Linked DNA regions of Mus musculus. The protein of the gene in region 1 interacts with the protein of each later gene in a biochemical or structural test. Links are inferred from orthologs where the notes say so. Each region holds a gene or a part of one and is shown in the gene's direction. Other genes may lie near its edges.

Evidence for each region.
Region 2: the proteins of Prkn (region 1) and Ube2g2 form a complex in vitro, tested with the Homo sapiens proteins (6 studies listed by BioGRID). The link is inferred for Mus musculus from reciprocal best matches to the Homo sapiens genes PRKN and UBE2G2.
Region 3: the proteins of Prkn (region 1) and Ube2z form a complex in vitro, tested with the Homo sapiens proteins (2 studies listed by BioGRID). The link is inferred for Mus musculus from reciprocal best matches to the Homo sapiens genes PRKN and UBE2Z.
Region 4: of the proteins of Prkn (region 1) and Mtor, one has a biochemical effect on the other in vitro, tested with the Homo sapiens proteins (2 studies listed by BioGRID). The link is inferred for Mus musculus from reciprocal best matches to the Homo sapiens genes PRKN and MTOR.
Region 5: the proteins of Prkn (region 1) and Ube2e1 form a complex in vitro, tested with the Homo sapiens proteins (2 studies listed by BioGRID). The link is inferred for Mus musculus from reciprocal best matches to the Homo sapiens genes PRKN and UBE2E1.
Region 6: of the proteins of Prkn (region 1) and Mfn1, one has a biochemical effect on the other in vitro, tested with the Homo sapiens proteins (3 studies listed by BioGRID). The link is inferred for Mus musculus from reciprocal best matches to the Homo sapiens genes PRKN and MFN1.
Region 7: of the proteins of Prkn (region 1) and Ccne1, one has a biochemical effect on the other in vitro, tested with the Homo sapiens proteins (2 studies listed by BioGRID). The link is inferred for Mus musculus from reciprocal best matches to the Homo sapiens genes PRKN and CCNE1.

The regions. Positions count from the first base shown.
Region 1 is NC_000083.6:12,061,212-12,064,087, forward strand, and holds the end of Prkn (E3 ubiquitin-protein ligase parkin), read left to right. Parts: intron 1-329; coding exon 330-442; 3' UTR 443-2,155; downstream 2,156-2,876. UniProt on the Homo sapiens protein: Functions within a multiprotein E3 ubiquitin ligase complex, catalyzing the covalent attachment of ubiquitin moieties onto substrate proteins. Substrates include SYT11 and VDAC1.
Region 2 is NC_000076.6:77,620,777-77,625,330, forward strand, and holds the start of Ube2g2 (ubiquitin-conjugating enzyme E2 G2), read left to right. Parts: upstream 1-1,544; 5' UTR 1,545-1,597; coding exon 1,598-1,640; intron 1,641-4,554. UniProt on the Homo sapiens protein: Accepts ubiquitin from the E1 complex and catalyzes its covalent attachment to other proteins. In vitro catalyzes 'Lys-48'-linked polyubiquitination. Involved in endoplasmic reticulum-associated degradation (ERAD).
Region 3 is NC_000077.6:96,058,833-96,062,700, reverse strand, and holds part of Ube2z (ubiquitin-conjugating enzyme E2 Z), read left to right. Parts: intron 1-1,576; coding exon 1,577-1,764; intron 1,765-3,868. UniProt on the Homo sapiens protein: Catalyzes the covalent attachment of ubiquitin to other proteins. Specific substrate for UBA6, not charged with ubiquitin by UBE1. May be involved in apoptosis regulation.
Region 4 is NC_000070.6:148,535,271-148,539,138, forward strand, and holds part of Mtor (serine/threonine-protein kinase mTOR), read left to right. Parts: intron 1-1,240; coding exon 1,241-1,489; intron 1,490-2,091; coding exon 2,092-2,192; intron 2,193-2,592; coding exon 2,593-2,689; intron 2,690-3,005; coding exon 3,006-3,104; intron 3,105-3,192; coding exon 3,193-3,315; intron 3,316-3,457; coding exon 3,458-3,640; intron 3,641-3,856; exon of another isoform or gene 3,857-3,868. UniProt on the Homo sapiens protein: Serine/threonine protein kinase which is a central regulator of cellular metabolism, growth and survival in response to hormones, growth factors, nutrients, energy and stress signals.
Region 5 is NC_000080.6:18,328,694-18,333,044, reverse strand, and holds the start of Ube2e1 (ubiquitin-conjugating enzyme E2 E1), read left to right. Parts: upstream 1-1,200; 5' UTR 1,201-1,358; intron 1,359-1,910; 5' UTR 1,911-1,943; coding exon 1,944-2,095; intron 2,096-2,118; exon of another isoform or gene 2,119-2,149; coding exon of another isoform or gene 2,150-2,181; intron 2,182-4,351. UniProt on the Homo sapiens protein: Accepts ubiquitin from the E1 complex and catalyzes its covalent attachment to other proteins. Catalyzes the covalent attachment of ISG15 to other proteins. Mediates the selective degradation of short-lived and abnormal proteins.
Region 6 is NC_000069.6:32,570,726-32,574,593, forward strand, and holds part of Mfn1 (mitofusin-1), read left to right. Parts: intron 1-3,508; coding exon 3,509-3,643; intron 3,644-3,868. UniProt on the Homo sapiens protein: Mitochondrial outer membrane GTPase that mediates mitochondrial clustering and fusion. Membrane clustering requires GTPase activity. It may involve a major rearrangement of the coiled coil domains.
Region 7 is NC_000073.6:38,097,357-38,101,224, reverse strand, and holds the end of Ccne1 (G1/S-specific cyclin-E1), read left to right. Parts: intron 1-523; coding exon 524-670; intron 671-1,340; coding exon 1,341-1,436; intron 1,437-1,622; coding exon 1,623-1,757; intron 1,758-1,866; coding exon 1,867-1,978; intron 1,979-2,075; coding exon 2,076-2,233; intron 2,234-2,587; coding exon 2,588-2,710; 3' UTR 2,711-3,241; downstream 3,242-3,868. UniProt on the Homo sapiens protein: Essential for the control of the cell cycle at the G1/S (start) transition.

The DNA.
Region 1 (2,876 bases):
TTTAAAATCATGTGTTTATTATGGTTATATATTTTTTAAAATGAAGAATCGCTGTCTATAAAATGTGAACAATTTGTGTCTAAATGAGGGAAAAGAAGAGAACCTCAGATATGCAGATGGGATTTGTTCCATTTCTCTAGAGCATCCGGACCCAGGAGCTGCCTCCGCTGCTGTCTGGTTGTTCACTCTGGGTCAGTCTCTCTGCTCTCATTGCTTGAGGTTGTTATTCACTACAAGAGCTGTTTCTGGAATGGCAGGTTGGCACGGGGAACAAGGGCTCGCCCGTATTTGTTACAAACCCACAGCGTCTATGTCCTTTGTCCCCACAGGAGGATGTATGCACATGAAGTGTCCTCAGCCCCAGTGCAAGCTGGAGTGGTGCTGGAACTGTGGCTGTGAGTGGAACCGAGCCTGCATGGGAGATCACTGGTTTGACGTGTAGAGAGAGATGTCACTTGGCCCTGGACGCACAACCTCAAGGGAAACTCCGAAGATTCCTACCTTCCTTAGCCATTTCTTCTTCTCGATGCATATAAGCACATAAATGCGCACACACAAACACAGGCTGCAGATTACAGAAGCAGCCCCTAGATCCTTTCCAGGGCACCCACAGAAAACCACAGCACCCGCTGGCCCCAGGGGGAGGAGGCACTTTCAGCCTCTGGCTCACTCGAATGTCAGAGCTTAGATGAGGGTGCACCTTTGGTTTGGATTCTGTAGAAGCCATGAGTGAGGTGGGAAGTGTTTTCCAGGGTTGTTGCCACGCCCTGGGTAAGTAACACCTCTGAGGATTCTCAGAAGCACACTTGAGATCTGAGGAACGCTGCTCTCATGTAGTAATCATCTATTCCCAAAGGGCCCCCTGCAGTAGTCAAAACTATTTGTTTATCCCCCCAAATCCTATCTTTACAAATGGTGCTGATGAGATTACAACCCCTCTGTGTACTAATCAGCTTATCAACCAAGTGAGAACCTAGGAAAGCTAATTGGATGGCAGACTGCTTAAATCGCAGGGAGGACTCAGAAGCCAAACCTACTTCCGTTCGTTTCATTATCTGCAACTTTAGAAAGAAATGATCTTTTTTTCCCCCTGAAAAGATAACAAAGTCTGCAATTTGGTTTGGAGTATTCCTACTGCAGCCTGGAAGTTTAGCTTCACTGTGAATTTAACAGAGAAAGTGCCTATAAAGGGGGCGTTTTTAAGAGACAATCCCATGATGCTGCGCCAATGCTAACAACAGGGTCAAGAAACACAATGTTTATAGAAGGAGCATCCCTCGACCATCTGAATGAGAGTATGCCTGACCCCTTCCACCACAAGTGGGGACACCTCTGCATATCTGCTCCCTCCTCTGCTGTTAAGCCCCAGGGAGCCCCATCCACCCAGTGGTCCTACAGACAGGGCAATACACACACACCAAGATAGCCTTCAGATCAACATGCATCACACTCAAGTGTTAATCTTTCAAGGTTTTCTTTTCTTTTTCCTGTTTTTTATTTGTTTTGCTTTTGCTTTTTTTTTTTTTTTTTTTTTGGTGGTGGTGGGGCTACCAAACTTGAGGCCTAGAGCTAAAAATCATATAGAAATGATGTTATCTTGTGGTGTGAGGAAAGGCCAGCTGGCCTAAGTTCACACTTTTGTCCCAGTGGCCCTAGACTCCACCCAGCCAGCTCCCAAAATGAAAAGACCACCTGTCAAGCAGCAGTCAGGAGTCTGATGTCACCCATCACTATTTTTTTTCCATCATTGTGCTTGCCTCTGCCTCCTTCCACACCCGTGTGACGTAATCGCATTGGGAAGCCAGGACAATGTTTGCTGTTCTGCTTTGGGTAAAGGGACTCCCTGAAGCTCTGTGGCTCTCCAGTATGGTCCCTTTTCCTTCCTAACAGATGCATATGTTTTCTTCAGAATACAATAGTGATTCTTAAAATAACCCAAAAGACAGGCATCCACAGTGTGTGAGCATGAATCACAGCCTGCATTGTGTGAGTGTGAATAGTGGGATAAAAGTGGATGTCAGAAGAGTGGAAATCAAACCTCTGCAAAGCAATCTTTCTCTTTCTGTGAAGTGTATTAAGAAATACCTGAAGTCTGTGTGTGTGGTGGTACCCAGACTGTCAATCAATAAAGACCCAGACTGTCAATGAAAGAATCAAAAGCGTGTTTGTACCTATCCTTGGGATTGCATTTCTGATCAATTTTGGAGATGTGGGAGGGAAGATGGGCCGCATTTCTCTGTGACCTCTCATATGTGTTTATAGAAGGGGCATCTCTGGATCATCTAAACGAGAACTTGGAAGCATCAGCCACTGGGGGGGGGGGGGAATTGGTCTCTTTTCTTTCCATAATTAACCTTGGGGGCTCTGCTCTCCTAATTATCAGTATTTCAAAACAAGATCTCATTCTGAAACCTAGCAGTCACTTTCTTGCCTTGCTCACAGACTTGCCCAGATAAGTGTTAACAAGGGAAACTGGGTCTGGAGAGTCTGGAGAGATGACTTAGAGGTTAAGAGCACTTGCTGCTTTGGCAGAGGACCAGAGTTCAGCTTGAAAGTACCCAGAGGGTAGCTTGCAACTGCCTAAAACTCCCATTCCAGGGAATTTGATGCCCTCTTCTTATTTCTATGGGCTCCTTCAGGCGCATGGTACTCAGGCAGGTGGGTTTGAGCACGCGAGCACGCGTGCACGCGAAAACACACACACACACACACACACTATAGATGATAGATAGATAGATAGATAGATAGATAGATAGATAGATAGATAGATAGATAGATATTTTGAAGAGAGACAGGAAGACGCTTGGGTCCAGGGAGATGGCCTAATACAGTAATGTGGTTACTCTAAGGGTTATGAGGACGAGAGTTCAGTCTTC
Region 2 (4,554 bases), on another chromosome or scaffold:
CAGCAGTGTGTGACAGCTGCTTACTCACCGGGTAGCTGACTGGGAAGCAGAGAGAACTAGAAACTAAGCTAATCCTAATCTCAAAATTCACCCCTATCCAGCTAGTGGAGGTTCCACCCTGACCAGCAAACATGTGGGCACGACTCACATTCAAACTGTCGCAGGGAATCGGGGCTGCCACATCATTTGGATGTGTTAGACTAACTTATGCTTCTACAGGCAACAGCAGGAGGAGCAGTGTGTCCTCGAGGCCTCCTTTTGACTTGTGGGTGGGGCATGCTTGGGAGGGTTATGCGTGTGGGATTTTTTTTTTTTTTAACCTTACATGTAATTGGAGTAGCATCCTAATATTTTTTTTCTTTCTCAAGATAGGGTTTCTCTGTGTAGCCCTGGCTGTCCTGGAACTCACTCAGTTGACCAGGCTGGTCTCGAACTCAGAAATCGGCCTGCCTCTGCCTCCCAAGTGCTGGGATTAAAGGTGTGCACCACCACTGCCTGGCTCTAATATATTTTTTTAAAAGATTTATTTATTGTATGTAAGTACACTGTAGCTGTCTTCAGACACCAGAAGAGGGAATTAGATCTCGTGACAAATGGTTGTGAGCCACCATGTGGTTGTTGGGATTTGAACTCAGGACCTCCAGAAGAGCAGTCAGTGCTCTTAACCGCTGAGCCATCTCTTCAGCCCCCTTAATATTCTTTTTTAAAACGACAAATGTGATGAATCTAATGCCTCAAATCTTTTGAGTTCAGCTTCTTATACTCAGGGTCCCAGCAGGAACTTTCTCTTTGTCCCTACACCTAGTCCTGAAAGCCCCTTTTTTCGGAGAGCCACGTCCCGAGCTGTATCCCTCATGTCCACTTAGCGAAGGCAGTGGTGCACCTAAGAAAATACCAAGCATCTATCTGGCAGTTCCGTATGATGAGGAAGTACAGCTTACTTGGCAGAGTCTGAGTTTTTTTGGCCAGAGAGGATGGGATATGGCCCGGGAACTTTATCCTTCCTTTGTGAAACCAAGGTACTCTTTCTCTTGCTAGAAGTGTCATCTCAAATCACCTGGGCCTCAAAAACCAGGTGTAGTGGCACTTGGGAGACAGAGGTAGGCAGGTGGCATCTCTGTGAATTCGAGGCCGGCCTGGGCTAAATAATGAGTTCTAGGACATTCATGCCTACAAGGGGAAAGTTTCACGATCTGGACAGCCACTTCTGAGGGGCGAGCCCAAGCGCAAGGACATGAGTCTCATTCAGGAACAATCCATGATGAGCCATTAGCTCTCGCACTATTTTTCAAGACTAAAGGGCCGCAGGGCGAGCTGCGCAAAGCCTCACGGCGGCGTAGGAAACCTTCAATGCTGAGGGTGTGGCCGGCCGAGAAGATTCTGGAAGCCGAGCTCCGTCGACCCGGGCCATTACCCGGGGAGCGCGAGGCGAACCCCAGCGAGCCTGTCTGAAGCACCCGGGTGCGCCACGTCACCCGCGCGCGCCCCGGATGCATTTGCGCCCGGAGCCCGCGACCCGGAAGCAGTCGTGGGCGTCGGAGCGGGCGGGCGGGACCGGCGCGGATGTGGCGAGGCTGCTGAACGCAGGTTCCGCGGTATGGCGGGGACGGCGTTGAAGAGGCTGATGGCCGAGTATAAGCGTGAGTCAGGCGGCGCCGCCTTCCTGTCCTCTTCCCCATAGTCGCCCGCGGCGTGGCCCGGCATGGCTCGGCTCGGTGCGGTGCGGTGCGGGGGTACTGGGCCGGGCTGCGAGATTCCGCGTGCGGATAAAAGGCCAGGCTGTCGCCGTCACCTGCGCACCCCAGCCAGCGGCAGCGGGGCTGGCCCTGGGCTCAGAAGCCGGCCGGGGCAGCGCCGCCGTGGCCCTGCCACCCGGGTCTGGTCCCTAAGCCCCTGTGTGCTGCGCATCTGCCCTCCCGACAGTTGATGCTGCGGGGCGAGTACCGGGTAATCCCCGTAAGGTGGTCGAGCCGTCGAGGGGAGTTGGGGGAGAAAGTTAAAAATAAACAAGATAACGCCTCAAACCCCCGGCCACGCCGCAGGTGCGAGTTGCTGGGGAAAACCAAAGTTTCTCGGACACGGGCTCCGGACAGTTTCCTTGGATCCGGATCTGTTTTTCTCTCTGTTTTACTTTTTCAGCTCTGTGTCTAGATTGAGACACATCCCCTTTATCTAAAAAAGAGGGAACAGCATTTAAGCTCCGGGACAGGGGTTTAAGTTTTGACCACTTCTACCCAAGGGTATTCACATTAGAGAAAAACTTATCCGCCACAAAAAGCCTCTACTCGTACGTCAGACAAAACGTATTGTCACTTAATTTGAAGTTAAGGTTGTGAATCATCTCCGTGTGAGAGAGAGAAGGAATTTGGTTAAAGAGGGAACTCTAAAATAGGAAGGCTGGCGAGGGGCTCAGGGGGTTCACAGAGGAGAAGGACTCCACCTGCTGTGGCTTCTTGGAAGAGGAAAAAAAAGGGCAGGGAGCTAAGGGTGGCCCCAGGCTGACAGCTAGTCTGGGACCAGTGTTACAGCCATACGGAACTGAGTTGTGCCAGCGACTTGAATGGACTTGGGTTGCAGCCCTGAAACAACCAGCTGTCTCGGCTGGGCCCAAGCCCACATGGAAACCATGAGGTCATCAATGGATATTGTTTAAGCCTGTGGCAGCAGTGATGGAAATGCATCCAGCAGTACAAAGCACGAGGAGCGAGGGAGGGAGGGAGGTTTTTTCCGTGTCCTTGTGAATTCAATAAAAGTCCCACTGAGTGTTTTTCTTCCTTTATGGTATAAAAGGTTTGTCCTCTGTTTAAGACCATGTACTCTAGTATTAGGTAGATTCAACAGGAACATCCAGGTTGAATTAGAACATCCGAGGTTGGGCTAGAGCGAAGGTGTTCTTGCATACCTGATTGTACTGTAGATTTAGAGGCGATATGACCTTGAGTGTGGTTCATTGTCTAACTTTTTTTTAATGTGTTTTTTATGTGTATTTTTATGAGTATTTTGATTACACATAGGTAAGTGTGTCATATGTGTGCCTGTGCCAGTGGATGTCAGAAGATGACATCAGATCCCCAGGGACTGGAGTTACAGCTGGTTGTGAGTCTTTGTGTGGGTGCTGAACTAGAACCTGGATCTTCTGCAAGAGCAACAAAATCTATGAGTCATCTCTTCATCCCTATTGTTTTTCAGGCTCCTTGTTTTTCTTTTATAGCAGTTGAATAACAGATATAAAACGATTAGACTGTGGTCATATCACAAAAAGAGCCAAGCGAAGACCTTAGACTGCTCCCAAGTGCAGTGTCCTGTGCACGCAGAGGCGGATATTGAATGTCCCACTCTGTCGCTCACTCTCCACCCTCTTCTCTTGAGACCAGGCCTGTCATTGAACCTGGAGCTCATCAATTCAGCTAGAATGGCCAGCCAGTTAGCCCCAGACATCTTCCTGTTTCCTCCCTTGCCTCCAACTCTGGGGCTACAGGCACCCATGGTAAATAAAGCCTGCCTCTTTTTCATACGGGTGCCAATACTCGAACCTGGTTCCTCTGTAAGAACAGTGTGTGTTCTTGTGTCCTTGTCATATGTTTCCACAGCTTTTCTTCTTACTGTGACAGACAAGGGAACAGTGGTCCAGGGCTGTTGTAACATTGTCACCACTCAGATACCATAACAGACAGCATCTCATGGTTTGGAGATAGAATTAGAAGCCCACTTGTGGCCTGGGCTGTCACCCTAGGCAGGGTGGGCTTTTGGGGAAGGTCCTTCCTCCCTCTCAGCTCTAGAGTGCTGGCTACTGCGGGTTACTTAGCTGTGCTAGTGTAAGTCCTTCCTCTCCTGTACCTTCCTGTGGCCATCTGAGCCTGGGTGTGTCGGTATTCAGATTTTTCCACTTGAAATGTCAACAGTCACTGGCTTAGGGCCCAGCCTAGTCAGAATGTTCTGTATTTAATTCTGGTACATCTGCTGAGACTGTTTCCAGACAGTGTCACAGTTCCCACATTGGGGTAGACTTGAGATTGTTTTACAATGACAGCTGTTTTTGTGTATTTGTGGGTGGGCAGGCGAGTGCCACTGTGCATGTGCAGAAGTTAGGACAACTGACAAGGGTCACATCTCCCTTCTGTGTGGAGCCTGGGAATTTCGAGCTTGGCCTGTCAGACGAGGCAGGAGGTGTCTCTGCCCACCAAGGCAGCACGTCAGAGTAGGGGCGTGAACCAGAGCAGAGCTGTTCACCTAAGGCCAGACACGGGAGAAGTAGAAAGGCTGGGTCCCTGCATTCCCCTTAAGGATCTGCTCTCAGTGCCTCCCCTGCTTGTTGCCTGGCCATGCTGCTGCTCCCTGCTATGATGCACTGCCTTTTCATAAGCAGGCATTCTCTCATCTCAGGTGACTTTCCTCAGGCACTTTGTTACAGTGATGGCCAGCTGAATAACTCGGTGTCCATGATACCCTGCTTGCAGAGCAGAGCAGGACAGTGACCTAGAGTCTTCATCTTCCCAGCACCACCAAGAGTTAGCGACATACCGAGTTGTCATTCTTTCTCTTTCTATTGCCGTT
Region 3 (3,868 bases), on another chromosome or scaffold:
GCTCCACTCTAGGTATTACATGTGGTCACCTACCCAGTGTACTCCCTGTCTCTGTTCCATCTCAGCATCTTGATTTTGACTGTAGCAAGTCAGGTGCAGGGCAGGGAAGCAGGAGGCCGGCTTGGCTGAAGTGTTTGCTGCCGATTCTTGGTCTTTGTAGTATCTCTTACCCCAGAGACCTGTCCTCTCTTGTCCTCCACATAGGAGACTTATACATGATAGTTGTGTTCCTCTGGCATTTATACCTAGGCTTCTCTGTCATTAAATGTTCTACTCTTGGGAGTGAATTTGGACATAAACTGATGTGGAGGGGGGGTTCAGATAACCTAAATCTAGGGTTTTAAGCAAAAACCAGTGAGTTCAGATTTCCTAAAGTAAAAACTCAGCTTATATATTGTTACAGACTTTTTTATTTTGAATAGACTTTCTTTTAAATTATTATTATTTCTTTTCATGTGGTTGGAAATATTTTTCCGGTGACATACTGTCTCCATTCAAATGCTAGGGTATGCTCATCTCTGAGGCCTTGAAATTGATGCCAGTTGACTTTACTATTTCCAGAGTTTGCAGACTAGAATATAACCTACTGTGTTGCCAGGGCAGAGTAGGATTATAGATTTGAGGCATGAGAGTACACGGTCTTTTTCCCTCTTGCTATTTAAATTCTGAGCATACTTAAATCATTAGTTACGAGCCTTTTAAAAAAAACATAGAATTGAGTCAGCTCAGGTTTGCTTCTGTTCTTGAAGAAAAATTGTGTTCAATAATGGAATAATTATGGCTTGTGGAAGAAGAGAACTGAACATAGTGTTACGTTTTAAGGAATACTGATTTATTTATTTTATAACAGTGTTGGAGAAACTTTTGGGGGGATGGTCTATTGGCCATGAGTAGACCATGAAATTTTATTTATTTATTTGTATCTTTGACACGGTAGTTTTGATCCTCTGGAGGAAGCAAGCAGACAGCCTTTGCATCCATGTAATTATCAGCTCTGCATTGTTGTTGGCGCTGGTCTCCCCTTTTCCCCTTCTTATCTCTCTCTCTCACACACACTCACACACACTCACACACACACACACACACACACTCACACACAGAGAATGGACTTGCATCATAAGCATGATTAACCTTGGCAAATCCAAGCATCTCAGTCAAAATATGTACTGATTTCCTAAACGAATAAGCTTAATTTCACACTGTATAGTTGATATATTTAGGTTCCAATTGTTGTCCTTAACACCAATCAGGGAGGTCTGGTGGGAAAAACAAAACAAAACTTGTTTTAAGGTAATATTGACAAGGGTCACTTTTTACCTTGGACATTAACTTTTGAATATAACCTCTGAGTATGGCGTGTGATGCTTACTCCACTATGATGGGATTTCCTTATATTGAAGACCTATGTACATGAGTGAGCCCAGGTGGTTCATTGTGTCTGGGGAGGATGTGGAATATAAACACCAGGCAATGCATGCTGTTGGTGACTGCTTCTGGTGGGGGGAGCAGGTGGAAACTAGGAGGGGTTGTGGTGGGGCATCACCTCACAATTTTGAGATGGGGTTTTATTTTGCAGATTCATGCTTTGATCACAGGCCCATTTGACACTCCTTATGAAGGGGGTTTCTTCCTGTTCGTCTTTCGGTGTCCACCTGACTATCCCATCCACCCACCTCGGGTCAAACTGATGACAACGGGCAATAACACAGTGAGGTTTAACCCCAACTTCTACCGCAATGGGAAAGTCTGCTTGAGTATTCTAGGGTAAGAAGAGACTTGTAAGAGGCCAAGTTGGTATTAGCAAATAATCACTCTAGGACAGCCTTCATCAATTAGGGTTCCTCTTCTGAACCCACCGCACAGTGTGATTGAGTATTCAGTTCTCTGGGTGGCACGTGACTGGTGTCATCTAGATGGAAAGGAAGAAGATCACGTTATTACATGTAAGAGTGTCTTAGGAAATGGTTTACTCAGTGCAGCCTTTGAGCTGCCTGCCACAGCAGCATCTGCAGATTTGAAGGTCCCATCCTACAAGTGTATCTCAAGCTCTGGGGTGTGGCAGCCGTCTGCTTTTTAGAGGCCGTACGGATGGTTATGCTCTATGCCCCTTTGAGAACTACTCCCTTAGGAAACATTAGGTCCTTATTTTCCCCAGAGGCTTGAGAAAGACCCCAGGTCTGCTGTATTCATGCAATGGGTGTCTGATTGGAGCCTCTTAGTGGGCGCCTCTGGAGGCAGTGGTGCTAATAATGATTATGAGAATTTAACAGTTGATTAAAAAAAAATTAAGTGCTTGGAAATAATACCCGAAATGAAATGGGTGTCACGTATACCCTCCAGGTCCTACTGGGAAGTTACTTTGTGGAGTTCTTACTCATTCCATATCAAGATACTTGTAAGATATTCAGAATGAAGAATGTCTTGTAGCCTGCTTTGGATCCTTTTGCAGTCCAGGTTTCCTTGAGGTAGAGAGTAAATCTGGGTTGAATAGTGAGGAAGTTGCTGTAACTCGTGATGCTGTTTGTTTCTTGCATCCAGCACATTTCTAGGATTGTGTATGAGAAAGGCAACTGAAGCACATTAGAAATGTGGGGTCTCTCTCTCTCTCTCTCTCTCTCTCTCTCTCTCTCTCTCTCTTTCTCTCTCTCTCTCTCTTTCTTTCTTTCTCTTTCCCTAGAACTCTCAAATCTAGAGATATGGTATACTCTTCTGGGATTATAGCAGCTGGAAAGTTCCATTGAAGGAGATTATGTATAATAAGTCCTTCATCTTACTAGGCTACATTAGTATCTTTGCTGGTGGGGTTGGGTGTGTGTATGTGTCCCTTGATAGTATGGAAGTTAAGTCATGGGTTTGGTATGAAGTTTGTTCTTGAAAGTATGTGTGTAGTAGGTTTTCCCTCAGTAAGCTATTATGAAGCCATCCTGGATACCAGCTCATACAAAGATAGTATTTGAGTGAAAGCCACAGAAGTTTGTTGCACGGTATTAAGAGATCCACCCTGAAACAAATTTTACAGGTCAGAGTCCTGGAGTAAGAAGGTTCTTATGTAGTTTTAGTTGGCTATATTAGCTTTTTGGCCTAATCCCCTCTCTTCATAGCTGGAAGTAACTGTCAGGGTGACTAGCTGCTGAAATGTTGTGAGAACTAACCCTGTTGATGGGAATTGCTGTATGGAAAGTGGGCAACAGCACTGGAAGAGAGCAGTCGCTGCAGTTTCTAATCCAGACTTGGGTCTTCCTTCAGTGTACAAGTGAAAGGGTAGTGGTTAGTTAACTTAAGCCAGTCGTGGCTAAGGTTGTGTTCTGTTTCCATCTCTCATACCATCTTGTTAATTAATTGAGCTAAAATAAATACCTGTCATGCATGGTAGGACAGATTTCTGTAAGTTCAAGGACAGCTTGGTCTACTTAGCAAGTTTTAAGACAGCTAGGGTTACATTAGTGACACTCTACCTTTAATTAATTAATTAATTAATTAGTAAGTGACACCCTGTCTCTAAATAAATAGAGGAAGGAAGGCATTGACGTTCAAGTGCCCCACTCTAATACCTAAAGTGGTTTAGCCAGGAGTGGTGTAAGGGCGGAGGCAGGAGGATTGCTTTTAAATTTAAGAATAGCCAAGGTTGTGTACCAAGACCCAGTCTTAAAAGTGGGAGTGGGTGGGGGTGGGATATTTTCCCTGGTGTTTAAGTTTTCTATCTGTTATTTTAGATATTGTCCCTCCACATTCTGAAAATGTGCCATCGTTTCTGTCTTAGTAGAGTTGTGTGTCTTCAGAGAATTTGACTCTGCTTGTCATATTACAAAGCTGAGTCTATAAACTTCAGCGTGTATCCTCATAGGCAGTAGCTTCAGTCACCTTTATG
Region 4 (3,868 bases), on another chromosome or scaffold:
TGTCTGATGGTCTCACAGATGCCTGTCATCCTAGGAACATCTATGATGTTATGTTACTGGAAACCTTTCTAAAAGACAAACAGTTAGAAAATGTATGAAAGTGGCTAGCTGACTGACCAGCGGGTGCAGAGGCTATCCCTGGAAGGAAGTGTGTATTTTTAGTGCAGCGCATATACATATATATATATATATTCCTTTTCTAAAGGCTTCCAGGTAATAGATGTTTGGTATAACAATGCCATCAATTTCTTTCCAAAATCTTCATCCTTACTAGGAAGTTATAAATTCTTCCCTCTGGGATCAAAGTTGATTTGAAGACCATAGAAACATTTGGAATAAAAAGTGTTTGTCCTCTGCAGATGCTTCACACTGATCTGAAAATTGTGCACTTTGGCTTGGGATGTAGCTCAGTGAGAGAGTATTTGCCTAACATGCACAGAGCAAGGGGCTCCATCTCCAGCAACATGCACACACACATGCACACACACAGAGTGCAGGCTATGATTCTCCTCTATTGATAGCTACATATCCAGAGCTGGCAAATACATCCAGTGAAGGTTTGCTTGTTAGTCAGCTCACAGCCACCTATAGCTCCAGTTCCAGGGGATCTGGTATGCTCTTCTGGCTATCCTAAGTACTAGGCATATATGTGATACACAGAACATGTATGCAGACAAAGCATCCATTAATATAAAATAATTGGGGGCGGGGACCTCAGGAAGCCCCACTTCCTGAGATGAAGCCAGCTGCCTTGGCCTAGCATGCAGACTCCACTGTCTGGTGCTCTAGCAGTTGGCCAGCGGCCCTGACTCTTGCGGGCCTCAAGCTGCACACATGCCCTCCATGTGCCTTTCTTTTTTCCCTGCCAGGAACACCAAGTGCCTGTCTCTGTTCCCTCCTTGTTCAAGGCAAGGCTTAGCCAAATCCCTTTTTTATGGAGCCCTTCAGATCACTGGTATCCCACTGCCCACCTTATCTAGCCCCTACCTGCCCTAAGTTTTGCTTACACTGACCCTCTGGTTGTGACCTCACAGTGCTCACCAAAAAGCCCAGTGCCGTTACTGCTCTCAAGATGAGCTACATTGATCGTAGTAAGGCCCACTTCCTGGGAGTATGTAGCAATGGAGACGCATTCTGCTGATCTTAAGGCACACTCAGAATCCAGCCTTCCACCTCGCTGGGCTTTGCATTAGACGTGAACTAGCCTGTGTCTGCCTTTGACTCTTCCCCATGCACCTAGGCTTGGCATGCATGGGCAGTGATGAACTTCGAAGCAGTGCTACACTACAAACATCAGAACCAAGCCCGTGATGAGAAGAAGAAGCTGCGTCATGCCAGCGGGGCCAACATCACCAATGCCACCACTGCAGCCACCACTGCAGCCTCTGCTGCTGCTGCCACCAGCACAGAGGGCAGCAACAGTGAGAGTGAAGCTGAGAGCAATGAGAACAGCCCCACCCCGTCCCCTCTGCAGAAGAAGGTCACTGAGGTAACTCCCCTCACTCAGAACAGGCTGGGGCACGGCTCTGCACAGAAGATGGCTGTGAAACTCTGGGCTTTCTCTGAGACAGGGTACACAGGCTGGACACACTGCCTGGCCGTCCTCATTGTATGCCAGAAGCTGTGCTCCCTGGGTGCAGGCGTGTGTGCACCGTCAGACTGAAGCAAGGCTCCTTCTCCCAGCAATGAGCACATTCTCTCAGTGCAGGGCTCCTGTGGGTGGGTGGCTGCCACAGCTGTAGGGCCACTGAGGCCAGGGCCTTGCGGATATGTCCTCTGCCCTGTTCTTTCCCTGTCTTCTCCCCTTGGCCTGTCAGCTCACACTGTAACAGGGCAGCCAGAAAGTACAGAGAACAGCATGTTCAGAGCCTTAAGCTCCACCCCTACTGCCCTGCTCAGGAAGCCATACTATGCCAAACTATCATTATGAAAACAGGTGCCTTTGTGGAGTCATTCTATATGCCATTGGCTCCTCAAGCATCAGTGTCTCACACTCCTACCTACCCTCTGAGGCAGTGCCATCAGTGTTCAACTGTGCCCATTTTACAGGTAAGAGAGTAGAGTTTCAATAATATACTTGTGTTTCAACAGGATTTATCCAAAACTCTCTTGTTGTACACTGTCCCTGCTGTTCAAGGCTTCTTCCGTTCTATCTCCTTGTCAAGAGGCAACAACCTCCAGGATACACTAAGGTACAAAGGAAGTGGGGAGGATGTAACTAAAGGAAGTCACCCTCTCTGGTCAGTACAGTTCAGGCCAGCATAGGGACATTTTTTCCTCCTGGGCCATGAGACCCGATAGCTTACCAGGCCTCACCCGTGAGGATGGAGGAAGAGGAGAGGGAAGGGTCGAGGCCTGTCCCATCAGCCTCCCTGCTGCCCATCCTGCAGACAGGCACCTCCCCAGCACGGACAGAGCTGCCCAGCTCACTTCTACAGCCAAGTTTGTGCCTCGGTGACCCTGGCCAACCTGTGGTGAAGCACTTGGGCTTCAGAGCTCTGCTACCTGTCACAGTCATTCACTGCCTTGCTGGTGAAAAATGAACAAGAACCAGGAAACCCAACTCTCTGTAACTTTGTCCTGTCTTTCCAGAGTCCTCACCCTGTGGTTTGATTATGGTCACTGGCCAGATGTCAATGAAGCCTTGGTGGAAGGGGTGAAGGCCATACAGATTGACACTTGGTTACAGGTGAGAACTCGGTGACGGTGAGGATGGGTCGCGGTCCTCTGGAAATCACCAGTGGTCACAGAAGCACAGCTTGGTTCCAAGCTCCAAACCAGATACTCCCCCTTGCCTACGCTAGGAAACTGAATGGGTACACCATTTCAAGACCTGCTAAACCAAAGTACACGCTGAGATCCCAGTGCATGGGAGGTAGAGGCAAAAGGCGCATGACTGCCCTGGGCTACATGGGGCCTTGTCTAGAACACAAAGAAGAAAACATGAGAATCAGTCACCTTTCCTACGTCTCACGTGCTGCTTGCTCTATCTTCCTCCAAACCAGGTTATACCTCAGCTCATTGCAAGAATTGACACACCCAGACCCTTGGTGGGCCGGCTCATTCACCAGCTTCTCACAGATATTGGTCGGTACCACCCACAGGTACATGCAGACCCTGAGCAGCTTCTCGTGAGTCCACTGACTGTTGCTTTGGTGGCTCGCCTTTACAAGTGTTCCTCTGTTTGCTTAGGCCCTCATCTACCCCCTGACGGTGGCTTCTAAGTCTACCACCACAGCCCGTCACAATGCAGCCAACAAGATCTTGAAGAACATGTGTGAACACAGCAACACGCTGGTCCAGCAGGCCATGATGGTGAGTCGGTCTTGAGGCAGCAGCCAGGGGTGTTAGTGATTACCTCTCTCCCTCGTGGCACATGCTGTGTCTTCTGTCTCCAAGCCAGACCTTCCCAATCGTAGCTTCCTGTGGTGTATCTTTCTTTCTCCCTTTAATCCAGGTGAGTGAAGAGCTGATTCGGGTAGCCATCCTCTGGCATGAGATGTGGCATGAAGGCCTGGAAGAGGCATCTCGCTTGTACTTTGGGGAGAGGAACGTGAAAGGCATGTTTGAGGTGCTGGAGCCCCTGCATGCTATGATGGAACGGGGTCCCCAGACTCTGAAGGAAACATCCTTTAATCAGGTATGAGATCAGAGTGACAGAACATTATCCTACCTCCCCAGACTGCTTTCCTCCACCTTTCTACTGTCCTTAAAAGTGGTACCCAGTAGAAGTCACAGCATAGAAAACTGTCATCTTAGTGCTCTGTGCAGAATTACAAATGCAAGGCCAGCGTAGACCTAGAACTCATGCCCAGAAAAATAAAGTAAAACAAAACAAAATAGAAATGTAACTGTTGTGCTTGCTTCA
Region 5 (4,351 bases), on another chromosome or scaffold:
AGAAACTAAGTCCTAATTTAATGGTGGAATTAAAAAAAATAAATTTCGGTACAGTGCCACACAAGGAACAATTTAGTGGCATTGTTGTGTGATTATCCTAAAAATATTATTTGAATAGCATCATATTGGAGTAAAAAGAAAGTAGGGTGCTTTCTAGAACTTTTTTTCCCCATTACTAAGACTCAGACATATCTAATTTAAGAATTCCAAATCCTGAGGCAGGCGGATTTCTGAGTTCGAGGAGAGCCTGGTCTACAAAGTGAGTTCCAGGACAGCCAGGGCAAGTCCTGTCAAAATCATTGGCTCAAGGTTTATTTTCAGTGATCTTATAATCCCAAGCCCGGTCGTAGTTACCTGTCCCGAACCCCAATTGCATACATTAAAAAAAAAAAAGTCCACATCCTTTTCAATAACAAGTGAAAGGGGAAGGAGGGTGGTATCTAGTATAAAATTGCACATGCCTGGTGTCCTGAACAGAATCCCAGTCTGGGTTTTTTCTCACAGGCGTGACCTCTGCTCCAAGCACGTAATTGCCAGAGGGAGGAACAAGTGTCATCAGCTCAAAGGAAAAACCTGTTAGGGGTCTTTTCCTTTCCTTTCCTTTCCTTTCCTTTCCTTTCCTTTCCTTTCCTTTCCTTTCCTTTCCTTTTTCCTTCTCTTTCCTTTCCTTTTTCCTTCCCTTTCCTTTTTCCTTTCCTTTTCCCCCTTTCCTTTCCTTTCCTTTCCTTTCCTTTCCTTTCGTTTCTCCTTTCCTCTTTTCTTTTCCTTTCCTTTCTCCTTTCCTCTTTTCCTTTCCTTTCTCCTTTTCTCTCCTTTTCTCTCCTCTTCTCTTCTCTTCTCTTCTCTTCTCTTCTCTTCTCTTCTCTTCTCTTCTCTTCTCTTCTCTTCTTTTCTTCCATTCTTTCTTTTCAAACGAATCACTTTTGGGGAGGAGTCAAAGTCCTCGCCAGGAGAGTACCATCTTTTCCCCACACCGGCCCCCTCACTCCCCAGCCTTTTCCCAAAGCCCTCCTGGGAAGAACTTCCCCTGGTCACCCCGGGCTCCACCTGCCCCAGTGGCCCCCAATCCCGCCCGGTTGCCTCGGCTCCGCCCGGCGCGGCGTCCCCAGGCCAAGCCGGGGTCGCTCGGGGCTCCCGGGCCGCGGCCCCCAGGTGCGGCGGGGGAGGGGCGCGGGGCGGGGCGGAGAGGAGGAGTGGCGCGGAGCGTGTGCGGCCGGGGAAGCCATTGCCTGGTTAATAGTTGCTGTTGCTGCACTTCCGCTTCTCTCCCAGTGAGAGCGAGACACGAGTGGCCAGGCCCAGTCGCAGCCGCAGCAGCAGCCGCGGCGGCGGCACGGAGCAGCCAGACACAAAGAGAGGTGCGGGGGCCCCTCAGGGCGGGCGGGCCGCGGGGCCTGGGGCCGCGGGGCCGGGGGACGGGCGGCACCGCCGGGCCGCGGGCAGCAGGGCCGGGCGACCGGGATGGCGTGGCGGGCCCGGGCGGCGGGGGCCGCGCGAACTGTCAGAGCGGCCCGGTCCCCGCGGGGACCCGCCCGCCCGGGGCGCATTGTGCGCGTCGGCCTGCGAGCGCAGCCCCGCGTGGCCCGGCCTGGCCAGGAGCCGTGTCCCCGCGGCCCACGCGGCCCACGCTCGGCTTGCTCACCCACTCTCGCTGCTCGGCTCGTCCCGACCTCGCCAAACTCGAGCGGACGCCGGGAGGCCTGGGGGACCGCGGCGGCGGCTCCCGGCCCTCCCCGGGCCGCCCCCGCGCGATCGTGGCCCCCGTGTCTCTTCGGCCGGTGCGGCGGTGGGCCCCGAGCCTCTGCAGGCAGCGGGGGCGGCCCGGCCCGCGCCCTCCTGACAGCGGAGTTCCTTCCCTCTTTGCAGCGCCTGCATGGTCTGTGTTTCTGTTTTGTTTCCTCCCCCTGCAGGGGCCGTTCGCGGGGTGGGGTGGGGGGTTCGCTATGTCGGATGACGATTCGAGGGCCAGCACCAGCTCCTCGTCATCTTCGTCCTCCAACCAGCAGACCGAGAAAGAAGGCAGCACCCCCAAGAAGAAGGAGAGTAAAGTCAGCATGAGCAAAAATTCGAAGCTTCTCTCCACCAGCGCTAAGAGGTATCCCACTCCTTTCTCCACAGGCATCCGAGCTTCCCAGTGGCCTCGTGCTGCATGTCAGGGAGGGAGGCTTCAACGACGTTCTCGTGAGTTCTCAGGCAGGAAAATGGGGCATGGGAGTCCCACCTGTTTTCTCTACTGCTCGCTGCTTCTGGTTTTGTTAGTGCCCTCGTCCATATGCAGGAGTTGTGGTTGGCCTCGTCCGTTTCTTGTTGAAGTTTCAAGAATCCTCATTACTTTTATGAGTGACTCCCAATGTGATTTCAGAGTCTTCATCCTAGTAATCACGAATCTCTGACTTCCCGGAGGCTGTCATCATACTTCATTATTAAGAGTACCTTCCTGGGCAACTCTGTTAAAACTAGTTCTGACCATCTTTCTTCCTCTTCACCTGTTGCAGGGGTGGTGTTTTCTGAATAGGGTTTTCTCCATACATCGCTTAAGGAATAACTAACTCTCATTAGCGGTTAAAAGAATGTCATGTTTTCTGGCAGAATTTGAAGAACCTTTGCCTGTTTGGAGAGTTAAGGGAGATGAAAGAATCAGTGAATAACTGTAAAATTATTTCAGTTATTTTTGGATTTTTTTTTTCTTTTCTGTTTAAAAACTTCAGTTTGACACTTTTCAGAAAGACTTGTTTTACTAGACAAGGTCTCTTTTGGCCCAAGCTGGCCTTGAACTTAGCACTTCTATCTCAGCCTCTTGATTGTTACAGAAGTGAGCCACTTAGTTCACCCAGCGATAATCTCTCTCTTGTGTAAAAAAAACCAGGTGGATAATTTACCTCTGTCAACCTTAAGTCACATTCTCTGATCCTGTGTTCCTTAAAATAATCTCTAGTAGATACCTGGGAGCCTGCCTCTCCTCTCCTTTCATACCCCCTTTTTTTGTTGAGATGGTTGGCCATAGTAAGGAACAGAAACTCGGCTGCTGGGGAATGGCATTCTTTAAAGAATTTTAAATGAAATGGAAGGTCTAAATGGCTTCGGGTCTCTCTGCTGAGTAGTGAGCCTGGAACTCAAAGATTGTCAGTTTGTTCTGTTGTTTTCCCTGAACTGAAATTCAGAAACTTGGTATGCTGTCTTAGTGAGCTAACTGGACTGATAGAGTAACTTCAGGTCATTTTAAATGGTTGCTGTTGAGGTCTGGAGAGATGGTTGATGCTTTGGTAAAACTGTTATCAGTTTCAGTGGTCTGATTATATCTCAGTCTCTCCAGGGTCTTTGATGAACCCCTGTGAATCTCCCAGAACCTAGATTCTATCCTTCTTGCTCAGGATGGCCTTTCTTGATCAACCCCGGCCTTGAGCTCTCTGTTCTACTTTTGACCTGTCCTGCCCCAGTGCAGGACATTAGCTGTGATGTCACTCCTGCCCCAGTGCAGGACATTAGCTGTGATGTCACTCCTGCCCCAGTGCAGGACATTAGCTGTGATGTCACTCCTGCCCCAGTGCAGGACATTAGCTGTGATGTCACTCCTGCCCCAGTGCAGGACATTAGCTGTGATGTCACTCCTGCCCCAGTGCAGGACATTAGCTGTGATGTCACTGGGGCTTTTACGTTGTGCTAGACATAAGGAGAAAATGGACAGGTATACAAAGTAGTTTTCTTTTTGTCAGTATAGTACAAATAAATAGATTTTCCCATAGACACAGCTTGTGTATGCTTAAGGAACTTAGAAACTTAGTTCTGGGCATAGTAGTACAGGCCTTTTGTCAGCTCAGCCCTTGGAAACAGAAACAGACAGATAGATGTCCTGTGAGTTCAAAGTGAGTTCCATGAGAGTCTGTCTCATGAACAAAATGCCAAACAAAAACATGTAAAACTATTTGATAGCTTGGATAGTAGTGTACTGGCCTAGCAGGCTTGAAACATCATCAAGAATGGTAAGCCCAGGAGTAATGGTAATAATGGTCATGGTCATGGTCATGGTAAGCCAGGTAGGTCAATTCAGAGTTTTCCTTTCTAAGGATATTGAGGGTCAGAAGAAGCCAACTATAATGCACTGAACCCTGCTGATTTTTAGCTGGACCTTTTTCTCCAGTAAAAAGAAAAACAAACTGAGTGTTGACTGGAGAAGTTCCTACCCTCAGAAAACCTTTGGGAGTGAAGAACAATCATGGCATTCCTTGTCAGCCTGGCCTATGAGAGGCCACTCAGAAACAGCTGGTAAAGAAACATTAAAGTAGAAATGGCAGGCGGGAAATGGAGCCAACATGCAGTATGTGCCTTTTAGTGCAACAGATTTAGACTTGTA
Region 6 (3,868 bases), on another chromosome or scaffold:
ACATTGCTATGCACATGTGTGCCTAGTGCCCTTGGAGGTTGAAAGAGCACATCAGATCCCCTGGACCTGTGCTGGACAGATGGCTGTGAGTTACCATGTGGGTGCCAGGAACCAAACCCAGGACCTCTGCAATAGCAACAAGTACTCTTAACCACAGAGCCATTGCTCCAAACCTCCAGTTTCTACTTTTGTAACAATTAAATATTTGTAAAAATATATTGAATTCCCTTAAAACAAGGTGCAGTATTGTGTATTTAAATAAGCAGCCCCAGAGGCTCTCAGCCTAAAGAGGACAAAGCAGATTACATGTAGGGGAAGGGAAAATGGGGGCAGATGGCACCCCAGCAGGTAATGCCCAAAGAGAGCAGCCCTTAGTAAAGGCTTTATGGGAGCAGCTGGCATACGAAGTGTATTCAAGAATATGAAGAAAGAAATTCTAGTGCGGACAGTGTGGGTTCAAGGGATTTGACTTCCTGGACAGGGCCTTCGATATGCAGAGATTAGAATCTGGATGATTGGATGTTTCAGTAACTTAGCTCTGAAACCAGTCACTTTTAGTGGTGTACTATATGGAATTATTTAGACAGGAGACAGGAATTAACTAGTAAAACTGAGACACAAGGTCAAAACAAGAAGTGCTGCTGTTGTACCATTGAGGTCATTGTTGTGGCCCTTAGTTTTTAAAACCAGCCAGGACTGCTGACTGCCTTTCTCCGTAGGCAGTGCACATGACTCCTTTGGATACCATTAGAGCTTGTGCTTCTTGCATGTCAGTTCTAGACAATTTCACCAGGTCTTATGTCTGAGGTGATGTGTGCTGTCTTCAGCAATATGGTTTTACCTTCAAGTTCTGGGAAGCAAGCAACGTAATAGCCTATGTAGTTTTGAGAACTCTCTTATATTTCCCCTACCTAGCAACTCAAGGGGAGGTGTTGCTGTAATATATTAATCCATTCTCCTCACCCTGTGGCAGCATGAATTCCTTGCTATCACTCCAGTGTTGTGGGTTTTTGAATGAAAGACATATATACACAGCCTTACTTTTAATATTTTAAGCAGCTCAATGGTGGGGCCGCTCCCAAACCTCCACTAGCACACACTCCCCTCTCACATTCCTGAATTATTACTTAGTAAAACCTATATTCCACCCTGGCTGACCCAGCCTGCAGCCCTCCTGGGCCGCAATCCCCATCTTACGTGTTAGCTGTCTCTCTGTCCTGAACTTCTCAGGCCTGACCCTTTTACTTTGCTGGCATGGTGGTTCTAAATCCATCTTCTTCCCTGAGTTCCCTTGCCCAGGAAATATAATGTCCCCCCTCTTTCTCCCTGCCCAGCCATCGGACACCGGCAACTTTATTTTCCAGTCAGATCCAGCTGGGGGCAGGGACCTTCAGCACCTCTCATACTGAATTCTTGTGCGGTTTTGGGAACCCGTAAGGCAGGCATTAAAGCAAATCCACAGCAGGGAGGTTTTCCATGCATGGCACTGAGATTTTTGCTAGACACTCTGACTCTTGTGGGGAGTATTACCACCCAAAGTGGTGAAACTTCCTTTAAACTCTGTGTGTGTGTGTGTGTGTGTGTGTGTGTGTGTGTGTGTGTGTGTGGGTGGTGGGGGCGGGTGGGGGGATCCAGAGCTAGGATCTATAAATAAGATAACGTGTAGCTGGGAGGTGGTAGCACATAGCTTTATCAGTCCCAGCTAAGGTAAACAGGTCTCTGAATTTGAGGGCTGAGTTCCAAGATAGCCAGGGCTACCCAGAGAAATCCTGCATCAGAACAAACAAACAAAAAAAAAAATCGGGGGAGAGAGAGGGGGAGGGAGCTAACTGACAGAGAGAGAGAGAGAGAGAGAGAGAGAGAGAGAGAGAGAGAGAGAGAGAATGAGAATAGGTGTTTGTCTTTCTGGGTATGGTTACCTTCCTCAGTGTGATCTTTTCTAGTTCCATCCATTTACCTGAAGAGTTCGTGATTTCCACTTTTTCCAGCAGAACAGTAATCCGTAGTGTGTGTATTTCTATCTGTTCATCAGATGAAGGCTATTTGTGTGTTCCATTTCTCACTGTGGACAGGTGCTAAGGAGGGTGATGGCTGAGCAAGTGTCTATGGTGGGGAGGGGAGGGGGGTCTACTGGGGTGTTTGCTGAGCAGTGGGACGGCTGGGTCATGTGGCAGGAAGATCTAAAAATCCACAAATATCTGTGCCAATCAGTATTTAGGGATAGGAGATTTCCTTACGAACATGTGTTAGTGTATACTTATCCTGTATTGGTTGGGGTATTCAGCTGTGGCAGGGACTTACCTAACATTCATGTCTGAACTTGCCAACCAGGATTCAGTTACCCATGTATACATCTCTCTCTGCTAAGCAGAATGTTATTTCCCAAGGAAGTCTTGGGAACTTAAACTTTACTTGATCTCTACTCAAAATGGATGTCTTATTCCAAATAGCTTCTTATATTGGTGCAGGTCTTTCTTCTGTCGGGGTCCATCCCAGGGGCAGCTTACAAAGGCAAGAAGCCCTAAAAGCTCAAACACAGGCGCAGGCAGTGCTGCTGGGTGGTTGGTTCAGTTCCAAGCTTACTGAGGTAACTGTGCAAAGCAGGGCTGACTGATTTCTACTGGGATTTGATTGGTCTCCAAGAACACCAAAGTAACAGCACTAACAGTATATGAGAAAATTTCCTTCTATTAGTAATAGCACAAAATGGTAGGCTACACAGGTAATAGTTACCTAGGCCTTAACATGTCACCTATGCCTTAACAAGATGAAACCTCAGAGTTGTTCTAATTTGATTGCTAAGAATACAGAATAGTTTTTGAGATATTTCTTATCCATTTTTCCTTCTCTTGAGGACTATGTTCAGATCCAAAGCCTATTTTTTTAATTAGGCAGTTTGGGGTTTGTTTGTTTGTTTGTTTGTTTGTTTTTGATTCTTTGTCTTCTTTAGTTCTTTTTAAGTTCTGGATATTAGTCCTCTGTCAGATTCACAGCTGTCAAAAACTCTGCCCCCACCCCCACCCCAGGGGTCTCTTCACTTGGCTGATCATGTCCTATGCTGTGTAGAGGCTTTGTAAGCCTTAATTCCTGAGCTAATGGAGCTCTGTTCAGAAAGTCCTCTCCTGCATGCCCGTCTTGTAGTGCTGCCTCATTTATTCTAGCAGTCTTAACGTCTGTCTGCCTTCTGCGTGGTCACATCCCGTTTGTATTCACGGCGCTCTGGCTGCAGTCTTTAATTACAATAACGTTTATAAGTGCCGTGCTGCCCTGTGGCTTAGCTATGAAAGATTTCCTCTTTAGCTGAGGAGCATAGTGGCCGTGCCTTTAATCCCAGCACTCCAGAGGCTGGGCAGATCTCTGAGCTTGAGGCCAGCCTGGTCCAAGTTCCAGCCAGGTCAGCCAGGGCTACACAGAGAAGTCCTGTCTCAAAAAAAAAAAAAAAAAAAAAAAAAAGTTTTTCTCTTTAATATGTGATCATTTTAGGAAACATTCACTTTTTTTCTTTTAGAGAAATGGCCACTACTTTTGCTCGACTGTGCCAACAAGTTGATGTTACTCAGAAACATCTGGAAGAGGAAATTGCAAGATTATCCAAAGAGATAGACCAACTGGAGAAAATACAGAACAACTCAAAGCTCTTAAGGTAAACCTTTTGTTGGTTTTTGTTGTTGTTTTTGAGACAGGGTTTCTCTGTGCAGTCCTGGCTATCCTGGAGCTCTCTCTGTAGACCAGGCTAGCCTCACACTAAGATTTGCTTGCCTCTGCTTCCCAACTGCTTGGACTAAAGATGCCACCACTGCCTGGCTTAAGGCAAACTTTTTCACCATCAATAACATGAATATCTAGTTTTGTCTCACATTCAAAATGT
Region 7 (3,868 bases), on another chromosome or scaffold:
GTGTTATGGCACAGCCTGTTGACTACATCCTCACTACTGCAGAAAGAAAGAAAAGCTGCTGACAGTGCTGGTGGACACTCGAGGAGGCAGAGGCAGGTGGAGCTCTGAGGTCAAGGCCAGCCTGGGCTACAGAACAAGTTCCATTTCTCGCCAGGGCTACACAGTGAGACCCTATTTCAAAAAGAAAATGTAACTGGTATTGTTCAGCAGTGAAGACTATACCAGTTCTTTTTCTGAGTCACGGTGAAACCTGTGAAGGGGGTTGCATTCTTAGAACTGTAGACTTTGTGGAGTGGTCTCTATAAAAGTGCTACTTTGGTCAGACCTAGCCTGGCTGATTTGCTCTTGCTGTTTGTGTAAGTCATAGTGTGCTCAGTTCCTGGGTCTCACTGGGCTGTGCTTAGGAGGAGTAGGGTGACAGCCTTGCATAAAAGCAGTTAGCTTTCTTACTGTGTCAAAAGTCAGGCAAGTTCGCTTGTGCTGCCCCTCAGGAGCCTTTTCTAACATGGAATCCTTTTCCCAGGTGTGCGAAGTCTATAAGCTCCACAGAGAGACGTTCTACTTGGCACAGGACTTCTTTGATCGTTACATGGCATCACAACATAATATCATAAAAACACTTTTACAGCTTATTGGGATTTCAGCCTTATTTATTGCTTCAAAACTTGAGGTAAAAAAAAACAAAAACAACAACAACAACAAAACCTCCCTAACATTCTTTGTGTGATAAGCATTATTTCTTAAATTCTGCCCCTATGAACAACTGTCATATGCACCTTGAATTCTCTTAACTCTGACGCTTCTAAGTTAAGGTAGACAGTGTCAGGTGGAGGCGGGTAAGGAACAAGGCCATAGATCATTTAGTTTAGTAGCTACTTTAACCATAATTGACCTTGGGACTGAAGAGATTGAAATTGTGGCATAGTGGTTTCCCACTTGGGATCCTAACACTTAGACAGCTAAGGTAGAATGGGCAGTTTGAGGCCTGCATGCCCTCAAAATAATATAAAAAGGGTTGTCGTGGGGTTCTTTATAGACTATAGGGTGAATGAAGAAGTCTAAGCAGTTTATCCATGAGTCTTTTTGAGACAGAATCTCTGTAGCTCTAGCTTGCTTGGATCCAGCAGCCTCTGGAGTTGTGACATTAAAGGCCACCACAGCCAGCTAGCTTTACTTCTTATAGCTAGCATGCTTTCAGTTGCTGAAGTGAGCCAGTGTTGAGCCATTGATTGTATCCTCTTTCCACGTCAGCATACTAGAGCCATTTTGGATGCATGTCCTAATCTGAAAGTGCTAGGAACGGTTTCTTCTAATAGCATCTTCCTTCTGTTCCCTTTTAGGAAATCTACCCTCCAAAGTTGCACCAGTTTGCTTATGTTACAGATGGCGCTTGCTCCGGGGATGAAATTCTTACCATGGAATTGATGATGATGAAGGCAGGTTACACATTAATATCGTGTGTGTGTGTGTGTGTGTGTGTGTGTGTGTGACAGAGAGACAGAGAGAGACTGTCTTTCCCTTGCAAGGTGTGGTGTGCCCACCACCACCGTGGGTCTTATCCAGTTAGCCATGTGGCAGGGACTATGGCTGAGCTTTTCACAACTGTCACTTCTTTCCTTTAGGCCCTTAAGTGGCGTCTAAGCCCTCTGACCATTGTGTCCTGGCTGAATGTCTATGTCCAAGTGGCCTATGTCAACGACACGGGTGAGGTGCTGATGCCTCAGTACCCACAGCAGGTCTTCGTGCAGATCGCAGAGGTATGTGGACCTTCTGCTTGCCCACTGTGTGTTTGTGTGGCACACCACAGCTCAGGGGCTTCTAGAAGCTTCATGTGGCATCTTGTCTTAGTGCTCCTGTCTTCCTTAGCTTCTAGACCTGTGCGTCCTGGATGTTGGCTGCTTAGAATTTCCTTATGGTGTCCTCGCTGCTTCTGCTTTGTATCATTTCTCCTCACTGGAGTTGATGCAGAAGGTCTCAGGTATGTTGGGCTTTCCTGTGAGTTCACAGACAAGGTGTCTTCAAGGTACAAGCCAGCTATCAGCTGCGGACTGAGCCTCTGACTTCTTTACTGGCAGGTTATCAGTGGTGCGACATAGAGAAGTGTGTCAAATGGATGGTTCCGTTCGCCATGGTTATCCGGGAGATGGGAAGTTCCAAGCTCAAGCACTTCCGGGGAGTCCCCATGGAAGACTCCCACAACATCCAGACCCACACCAACAGCTTGGATTTGCTGGTCAGTAATCTCCTTGCTCCCTCCCATCAGACAAGTACTTAACCAACTCTGCCTAAGGAAAAGCCAGTTCTAACTCCATTAAGAATGTTTCTAGTCCATAGAGTCTGTGTCTCAGTATGCGAATACTATAGACATTAGGTGAGAGGGGGTTGTTTACTGAGACCAGTTCTTACTAGATATAGCCCAGGCTGACCTTGAACTCAGAAGTCTGACTCCCCTCAAGTGGTAGGATTTGCCACCAAGCCTAACTATAATTTTTGCTATTTCTCCCTCTTGCCTCCATATTAAAAACATACAGCAAGAAAAACGACACTTTGTTTAACTTTGACAACTTTCCCTCTTATTCTTATGTAGGACAAAGCCCAAGCAAAGAAAGCCATATTGTCAGAACAGAATAGGATTTCTCCTCCTCCGAGTGTGGTCCTGACACCCCCACCCAGCAGTAAGAAGCAGAGCAGCGAGCAGGAGACAGAATGACCAAACCTGCCATTGCCTCCAAAGACAGTGGTGTGGAAGCAGCTGCCTGGAGCTCCCTGTGCTGCCTTGGAGGTCAGGAGCCCCTGCAGATGCTGTGCTCTATGGAGAGGTGCATCTCTTCCGGAGCAGCAGGGGTCTGCAAGATGCCTTGGATGGAAGTGCTTTTATTGAATGCTAGGTGTTTTAACTATAGGGTCAAGTACACCAGCCACCTCCAGAACACCACTGAGTGCTCCAGAAGCTGCTAAGGAGGGTGCTACTTGACCCACTGGACTCTTCACACAGATGACACAAGCTTGAAGTTAAGGAGGCCACGCCATGGCGGTTGCTGGCCTCTGCTCGGGTGTTGTAGGTTGCTGTTGATAGGCTGTGACCAGTGGTTGTGAGCAAGTGTGGGATGCAGAGCCCACAGCCTGGCCTAGGCTGCCCTTCTCCACTGTCAGCCAACAGCATGTCCTGCCTTCATGAACTCTTATTTTGTAAGTGCTGCTATGTCTATCAATTTTTAATAAAGATAATACTATCTTTGAAGCAGCTGTTCTTAACTCTGTCTAGTATCAGAAACTAGGAGTTGCCTTTTAGAGTTGGTCTACCAAGTTCTCTTGTTTTTTTTTCCGAGACAGGGTTTCTCTGTGTAGCCCTGGCTGTCCTGGAACTCACTCTGTAGACCAGGCTGGCCTCAAACTCAGAAATCCGCCTGCCTCTGCCTCCTAAGTGCTGGGATTAAAGGCATGCGCCACCACTGCCTGGCCAGTTTCCTTATTCTTGAGACAGTCTCACAATGCAACCCAGGCTGGCCTAGAGCTTGCTATATAGCCTGGGCTTCCATGAGGCTCTCACCCACAATGCCCTACACAGGCAGCAGTTCACACTGTAATTGTCAGCTGTCTCGTGGAGGCATTCCACACCCAGGGAGTTTCACTCGTGTCATCTGTCCTCTCCAGAGTATTACAGGTCATAGAGCTGTAATGCATGGTCTTCACCCTTACCCAAATATGAAGGATATAAGACATTTTGTTTAAACAATTTAACATAGTGGCCTCAGACTACCTCTAAGAGGAAAATGAACCTGGGCACATTGGTGCACACCTTGCCTCAGCTCCTGGGAAAATCCAAAGTTCTAGGCTATGGCCAGGCCACTTAGGAATGCCCTGTCTC